Linked DNA regions of Saccharomyces cerevisiae S288C. The main gene of each other region encodes a partner of the protein of the gene in region 2 in a complex. Each region holds a gene or a part of one and is shown on either strand. Other genes may lie near its edges.

Evidence for each region. The genes of interacting proteins can lie anywhere in the genome.
Region 1: RSC2 (region 2) and HTL1 share a complex: the UniProt entries of both Saccharomyces cerevisiae proteins name them as parts of the two forms of the RSC complex.

What each region holds. Positions count from the first base shown.
Region 1 is NC_001135.5:153,514-156,495, forward strand, and holds HTL1 (Htl1p), read left to right. Parts: upstream 1-1,806; coding exon 1,807-2,043; downstream 2,044-2,982. Other genes in the region: MAK32 (Mak32p), read left to right, coding at 1-415; PET18 (Pet18p), read right to left, coding at 499-1,146; MAK31 (Mak31p), read right to left, coding at 1,317-1,583; HSP30 (Hsp30p), read right to left, coding at 2,596-2,982. UniProt on the Saccharomyces cerevisiae protein: Required for cell cycle progression through G2/M transition at temperatures higher than 33 degrees Celsius. Component of the chromatin structure-remodeling complex (RSC), which is involved in transcription regulation and nucleosome positioning.
Region 2 is NC_001144.5:838,831-844,500, forward strand, and holds RSC2 (Rsc2p), read left to right. Parts: upstream 1-2,500; coding exon 2,501-5,170; downstream 5,171-5,670. Other genes in the region: ILV5 (ketol-acid reductoisomerase), read right to left, coding at 1-423; ATG33 (Atg33p), read left to right, coding at 1,491-2,084; YLR358C (uncharacterized protein), read right to left, coding at 4,657-5,220; adenylosuccinase ADE13, read left to right, coding at 5,452-5,670. UniProt on the Saccharomyces cerevisiae protein: Component of the chromatin structure remodeling complex (RSC), which is involved in transcription regulation and nucleosome positioning. RSC is responsible for the transfer of a histone octamer from a nucleosome core particle to naked DNA.

The DNA.
Region 1 (2,982 bases), on a different chromosome or scaffold from region 2:
AGCATTAGCGCATCGTTTCGATGATTTCATGGATGAAAACAATATGTGTATTCTACGATGCGGTGCCCTCGGAAGCATATCGGTAAGTGAGAAGTTTAAGAACGGACGAACCTATGACCATTTCCCCGCCTACCATTTCAAAACTCAGTCTAAAGTACTAGATCCTACTGGCGGGGGAAACTCGTTCCTTGGCGGCTTTGCAGTTTCTTATGCCCTAACGAAAAGCTTAGATATTGCTAGTATATGTGGGAACATCGCTGCAGGCGCAATAATTGAACAATTCGGAATACCGAGGTACGATCCAATTGCTAAAACCTGGAACGGAATCACATTCTTGGATAGACTGAAATTTTACCTTTCACAGTCCGGTCTTCAATATAATATAAACGATCTTTACAAAAGTCTAACACGATGATCATATCAGCTTGTTCATTGCTCTTATTTTTCTGCAAAAATATACATATATATATATAAGTAAGTGTTATATACTACTTGAGATTAGGCGTTGTAACAAGATTCAAAAAATTCGAACTCGAACTGTGAAACCTTCACAAATATGCTTTCCACTTCTTCGACGGGAAACTTGTCAACTTCAGCCTTTAGAAATTCACACCAAGTTTGAAAATGCTCACCATCATGTAAATCAATCCATTTTTGATATTTCCAATGCAACCCTGGGGCTCTAGGAGTATCACGAGCCCATCTCCAATAGAGTTCCTCAGCAACCCATAAGCTGGTTACTAAGGATGGCCATGTAATTGAGGCGTCCTTTCTCAGCTCATCTAAGAAATTAATATACGCATCAACGCCGGGGATCGCTTTATTGTCAAAATTATCTCTTTCTTCCTTGGTGAGGGATGGTGCCAATAATTCTAAGCAGTCATGAAAGTATGAGTTTTCATCATTAGAAAAAAATCCAATCTTTTTGGCTAAGGTTATTAAAGCGTGAGTAGTTGGTGCTAAAGAAGTCGTCTTACATATCAACCTTAAGCTAGTTTCAAAAAATTGCAGATCTTGTGATAAATAGATGTACAAACTACGGTCCTTCAATGTTCCGGCACATAGTTCCTTAGCGAATTTATGTTCTGTGGTTTTCCTAACAAGGGCGTCGTACTTTTGTATTAACTTATCAGTGGTACAGCTCATTGTTCTTCCTTGCAGATATTGTTGATATTGTTATTATTTGCGCTAAATTTTAGTTAATACAGAAAAAAATATCTAAGTTCAGTCCAGTTCATATTCGTTTATATATCTTTCGAAGCCAGACCTTTTTTGCCAAGCAATTGTTACTATGGAAACTATTAGAACCATATGCGCTAAACAATATTAGCCATCAATTCAACTTTATTCGCAGTAAGCTCCTGCAGAACAGGCTTATCAATCATTATGGTCTTAACGGAACGCCTAGGGACGCTGACTAGGCCCATCATTCTACTACTGGAGCCCATACGTTCCTCAACATGATCTAATAGCAAATTCATTTGGGCATCTACAGCAACCAAGCTTCCAACTAAAATACGATCTTCTGTAAGGGAAACTATTAAAGTATTTCCAATAAAATCTGACAGTTTCAAGATGTCCATGACGCTTTGGTGCCCCTTACTAAGTTTGTTGAAGACTATCTTCACCCTATCAATGATATCATCGCATTTAAAAAATAGTCAGAACTCATGCACTTCGCGAGATATTTTTTGAAAAAAAAAAAATTAATCCGCCACATAAGATGCACAAAATGAGCCTATAACATTGAATTTTATGATAGAACGAAAGGATTGTGTTATTTAGAACAGAGTATCAGTATATCGTATGTCACAGAACAACACAATCAGCTCAATGAATCCTGAAAGAGCTTACAACAATGTAACGCTGAAAAATTTAACAGCATTTCAGTTATTATCTCAAAGAGAAAACATATGCGAGTTATTGAACTTGGTAGAAAGTACGGAAAGACACAATAGTATTATCAATCCTGAAAGGCAAAGGATGAGTTTGGAAGAAATGAAAAAAATGCTCGATGCTTTGAAAAATGAAAGGAAAAAGTAGGAAAACGCAACATTCACAATTGTAAGCTACAAAATATTGAATGTGAATCCTGCTTCATTACAAATGAAGAATTTCAAAGCGTATCTAGTTCACCAAAAGTCACAATATCTTATTATTATTTGGAAGCTTTTATATGCATCTAATGGTCATAAATCCCATCTCACTTTATAAAACAAGTTACCGCGAATGTATCCAGTGATACAGAATAGAGTGTAACAAATGAGAATAAAAATACCATATTATCGTTTAATTTTGGTAGGGTACGCTAAAATAAAGTGGTGTTTGCGTCTCCATATAACTAAAAAGAATTGAAATGGCCTACTATCGATTAGACTATTCAGGCATGGAAGCAGTAAGAACATTTCTTGATTTTGGAAAAATGAGATTAGATTATTAATTATTGTGTTTGTGTATATAATTTATTTTGCATATTTCATAAAGAAATTAAAATTAGATTATTAAATATTAAGTTTCATTAGTGACATTAAAAGAAGAAAACTGATGTTTTGAAATGTGTTAAGCAAAGAATGATTAAGACAATCTCAAGCTGCTCTAAGCAGTATCTTCGACAGCTTGCTCTGCTTCAGGTTCGGGTTCGTGGATTGCAGTCTCTCCAGATGCTCTTGGGCTCTCTGGAACAGCTTCTTTTGTTTCAGGAGCCGCATCTTCCACATCGTCCGTAGCATGGTGATGAGAGAATCCTCCTGTCAAAGATAGCCTTGGCAATTTGCCATCACGGCTGACTGCAATTAGCAAGTAACATGGATAAATGGCAAATACACATAAATCCAAAACACCATAAAAGATAGCCTCACCGTCTGGTTGAATACGGTTACCACCATCACTTAGACCCCAACAGATAAAGTACAACCAAACGATTACCATGCAGGTACACAGCATAAGTGCATTGAACCCTCTAGTTTTCAAATTGAAGAATTG
Region 2 (5,670 bases):
AACGTAACTACCTCTCTTGATAGCATCTTCAACAGTGAACAAGTTCTTGCCTGGAACCCAACCGTCTTCGATGGCAGCCTTCCAAGAAGCACCATCTTTACGGACACCAATGATAACGTTCAAACCGTTGTCTCTCAAGTTCAAACCTTGACCGTAACCTTGGGAACCGTAACCGATCAAAGCAAAAGTGTCGTTCTTGAAGTAGTCCAACAACTTTTCTCTTGGCCAGTCAGCTCTTTCGTAGACGGTTTCAACAGTACCACCGAAGTTGATTTGCTTCAAACCACGGGTAGTGATCATTGGCTTAACGAAACGGGCAGCTGGTCTGCTGTAAGCAGCAGCACGGGTGGCCAAAGCAAAGGTTCTCTTAGCAGTGATGACACGGGAGTTGCAGATCAATCTGGCGGCTTGAGTTCTCAACATGTTTTATTTTTTACTTATATTGCTGGTAGGGTAAAAAAATATAACTCCTAGGAATAGGTTGTCTATATGTTTTTGTCTTGCTTCTATAATTGTAACAAACAAGGAAAGGGAAAATACTGGGTGTAAAAGCCATTGAGTCAAGTTAGGTCATCCCTTTTATACAAAATTTTTCAATTTTTTTTCCAAGATTCTTGTACGATTAATTATTTTTTTTTTGCGTCCTACAGCGTGATGAAAATTTCGCCTGCTGCAAGATGAGCGGGAACGGGCGAAATGTGCACGCGCACAACTTACGAAACGCGGATGAGTCACTGACAGCCACCGCAGAGGTTCTGACTCCTACTGAGCTCTATTGGAGGTGGCAGAACCGGTACCGGAGGAGACCGCTATAACCGGTTTGAATTTATTGTCACAGTGTCACATCAGCGGCAACTCAGAAGTTTGACAGCAAGCAAGTTCATCATTCGAACTAGCCTTATTGTTTTAGTTCAGTGACAGCGAACTGCCGTACTCGATGCTTTATTTCTCACGGTAGAGCGGAAGAACAGATAGGGGCAGCGTGAGAAGAGTTAGAAAGTAAATTTTTATCACGTCTGAAGTATTCTTATTCATAGGAAATTTTGCAAGGTTTTTTAGCTCAATAACGGGCTAAGTTATATAAGGTGTTCACGCGATTTTCTTGTTATGTATACCTCTTCTCTGAGGAATGGTACTACTGTCCTGATGTAGGCTCCTTAAATTGGTGGGCAAGAATAACTTATCGATATTTTGTATATTGGTCTTGGAGTTCACCACGTAATGCCTGTTTAAGACCATCAGTTAACTCTAGTATTATTTGGTCTTGGCTACTGGCCGTTTGCTATTATTCAAGTCTTTTGTGCCTTCCCGTCGGGTAAGGGAGTTATTTAGGGATACAGAATCTAACGAAAACTAAATCTCAATGATTAACTCCATTTAATCCTTTTTTGAAAGGCAAAAGAGGTCCCTTGTTCACTTACAACGTTCTTAGCCAAATTCGCTTATCACTTACTACTTCACGATATACAGAAGTAAAAACATATAAAAAGATGTCTGTTTGTTTAGCCATCACAAAAGGTATCGCAGTTTCTTCTATAGGCCTCTACTCTGGTCTTTTGGCTTCCGCTTCATTGATTACATCTACTACTCCACTAGAGGTTTTAACAGGATCCCTTACTCCCACTTTAACCACTTTGAAAAATGCGGCCACCGCCTTGGGAGCGTTTGCGTCAACTTTCTTTTGTGTGAGCTTTTTCGGCGCTCCTCCCTCATTGAGACACCCCTACTTACTCTATGGTATGCTTGTAGCTCCATTATCTTCATTTGTTCTAGGATGTGCCTCCAACTATCAGTCTAGAAAGTACAGTAAAGTCTCTAAGGAATCTTCTTTATTTCCCGAAGACAGCAAACTCGCTGCTTCCGAACTGAGCGATTCTATTATTGATTTAGGTGAAGACAACCATGCTTCAGAAAATACACCTCGAGACGGGAAGCCTGCAGCAACCACAGTATCAAAGCCGGCAGAGGCATTGCACACCGGTCCCCCAATCCATACTAAAAATCTAATTGCAGCAACTGCTATTGCTATTGTTGGCTTTGTACAAGCCGTTATTGGCGTTTATGGGGAAGGACAATTTATCTAGTGTTTCTCGTTCACGTATTTATCTCTACAAGAATTTGTAGCTGCCTGAACTCGGCTCCTCTCTCTCTCCAAAAATAAAGTGTGTAGTAATTTGCAGTTTTTTTATATATTCCTACGAGTTTTCAAACGTTCAAAAGACAGTATGTTCAAAAATTGTGCATACACACACGTATGCACATATATACATAATAATACACTGTAATAAGCACATTTGTAGGTGCTCTTGCACTTGGTTTATTACTGTCACTGACTTTTCTCACCCGGCCGAGAGTCGTGCGAAAATTCGCATGTTAAAGTGAGAAAATAGAGAAAACAACACAGCTGAAAAAAGTATTGGTAACAGTTCAATACGTGATCAAATATACAGCACGTCGCGCAGAACCAGACGAAGCGGAGAATATTCTACATTGACAGTGCATGATGCCTGATGACAATTCAAACTCGTCCACTCAAAACTCAAGCGCATTATACAAGGACCTGAGGAAAGAATATGAATCTCTTTTCACTTTAAAGGAAGATTCTGGGTTAGAGATTTCACCAATATTCAATGTCCTTCCACCTAAAAAGGATTATCCTGACTACTACGCAGTGATCAAGAACCCTGTATCTTTCAATACTTTAAAAAAGCGTATTCCACATTATACAGATGCTCAACAGTTTATGAACGATGTTGTCCAGATTCCATGGAATGCCAAGACTTACAATACAAGAGATTCAGGAATTTATAAATACGCCTTAGTCCTTGAGAAATATTTAAAGGACACAATCTATCCAAATTTAAAAGAAAAATATCCTCAATTAGTGTATCCTGATTTGGGTCCTCTACCCGATGAACCAGGTTATGAAGAGTTTCAACAGAAATTAAGAGAAAAAGCTGAGGAAGTAGCGAGAGCTAATGCAGCCAGAGCCGAGTCGAGCTCTTCAATGAATTCAACAGAAGCAGCCAGAAGATTAAGAAAGACTCGTACTTCCGTCAAAAGAGAATCAGAACCAGGAACCGATACAAATAATGATGAGGACTATGAGGCGACGGATATGGATATCGATAACCCTAAGGATGCTGATTTTCCTGATTTGATAAGAAAGCCACTAATAAATATTAATCCATATACTCGGAAACCATTAAGAGACAACAGGTCCACTACTCCATCTCACTCAGGCACCCCTCAGCCGTTAGGCCCAAGGCATAGACAGGTATCCAGAACTCAGGTAAAGCGTGGGAGACCCCCAATCATCGACTTACCGTATATTCAAAGAATGAAAAATGTTATGAAAGTACTAAAAAAAGAGGTGCTAGATAGTGGAATTGGTCTAACTGATCTTTTTGAAAGATTGCCCGATAGACACAGAGATGCAAATTACTACATCATGATTGCTAATCCAATTAGTCTTCAAGACATAAATAAAAAGGTAAAGACTCGTCGTTATAAAACGTTCCAGGAGTTCCAGAATGATTTTAATCTTATGTTAACCAACTTTAGAATTTCGCACAGAGGTGATCCTGAAAGCATAAAAATTTCAAATATCTTAGAAAAGACCTTTACTAGTCTGGCAAGATTCGAACTATCCAAACCTGATAGAAGTTTCATTCCAGAAGGCGAGCTAAGATACCCTCTAGATGAAGTCATTGTAAATAATATATCATACCACGTGGGAGATTGGGCACTTCTTCGAAATCAAAATGATCCTCAAAAACCTATAGTGGGCCAAATATTCAGGCTATGGAAGACACCAGATGGGAAACAATGGTTAAACGCTTGTTGGTATTACAGACCCGAACAAACTGTGCATAGAGTGGATAGATTGTTTTACAAAAACGAAGTTATGAAAACAGGTCAGTACCGTGATCATTTAGTGTCAAACTTAGTTGGGAAATGCTATGTGATTCACTTTACTAGATATCAACGTGGTAATCCCGATATGAAATTGGAGGGTCCCTTGTTCGTTTGCGAATTCCGTTATAATGAATCCGATAAAATTTTTAACAAGATTAGAACCTGGAAGGCTTGCTTACCAGAGGAAATTCGTGATTTGGACGAAGCTACCATTCCGGTAAATGGTAGAAAGTTCTTCAAATATCCTTCCCCCATAAGACATCTACTACCAGCTAATGCAACGCCGCATGATCGCGTTCCTGAACCAACGATGGGATCCCCGGACGCGCCACCATTGGTCGGTGCCGTTTATATGAGACCTAAAATGCAGCGTGACGATTTGGGGGAATATGCAACCTCTGATGACTGTCCCAGGTATATTATCAGACCCAACGATTCTCCCGAAGAGGGACAAGTGGATATAGAAACAGGTACGATCACCACAAACACGCCAACAGCAAATGCTCTTCCTAAAACAGGATACTCAAGTAGTAAACTATCCAGTTTAAGATATAACAGGTCATCTATGTCTTTAGAAAACCAAAATGCTATTGGCCAGCAACAAATACCACTGTCAAGAGTTGGTTCCCCTGGCGCGGGAGGCCCGCTTACTGTACAAGGTTTAAAGCAACACCAATTGCAAAGGTTACAACAGCAGCAACATCAATACCAACAACAGAAAAGATCCCAAGCATCACGTTATAATATCCCAACAATAATCGATGATTTAACATCGCAGGCATCAAGAGGTAATTTGGGTAATATAATGATCGATGCAGCCTCCTCGTTTGTCTTACCTATCTCTATAACCAAAAACGTAGATGTTTTGCAGCGTACTGATCTGCACAGCCAAACCAAGAGATCTGGAAGAGAAGAGATGTTTCCATGGAAAAAAACAAAGGGTGAAATATTATGGTTCAGAGGACCTAGTGTGATAGTAAATGAACGAATAATAAATTCAGGTGACCCACACCTAAGCCTGCCACTGAATAGGTGGTTTACCACTAACAAGAAAAGAAAACTAGAATACGAAGAAGTTGAAGAAACCATGGAAGATGTGACTGGAAAGGACAAAGATGATGATGGCTTAGAACCGGATGTTGAAAATGAGAAAGAGTCCTTGCCAGGCCCATTTGTCCTTGGATTAAGACCCTCGGCTAAGTTCACGGCGCACAGACTCTCTATGCTGCGGCCTCCTTCGTCGTCTTCATGATCACCTTTATTGTAAAAGCAATGGCAGCATAATATCTTCCCATTGCGCATTACCCTCCGCGAGCAGAGTCAAACTTCAAACAAAGCAGGAAAATGAAATAAAACAGAAGTTATTATATAGAAGAAAGTCATCTATAGATATATTATCGTTGTATTAATAGTAGCCATATAAAACAATTATACTTCATCACCAACCTCTCAAAATTTCTTCCCCAAGGACCAAAGCTTTTCCAGTAAGTTGCTACAACTAAAGTGAAATAAACTATCCGAATTATATAAAAGATGCCTGACTATGACAATTACACTACGCCATTGTCTTCTAGATATGCCTCCAAGGAAATGTCAGCAACGTTTTCTTTGAGAAACAGATTTTCCACATGGAGAAAACTATGGTTAAATTTGGCTATTGCTGAGAAGGAATTGGGCTTAACTGTTGTTACAGATGAAGCAATTGAGCAAATGCGCAAACACGTCGAAATCACTGATGATGAAATCGCAAAA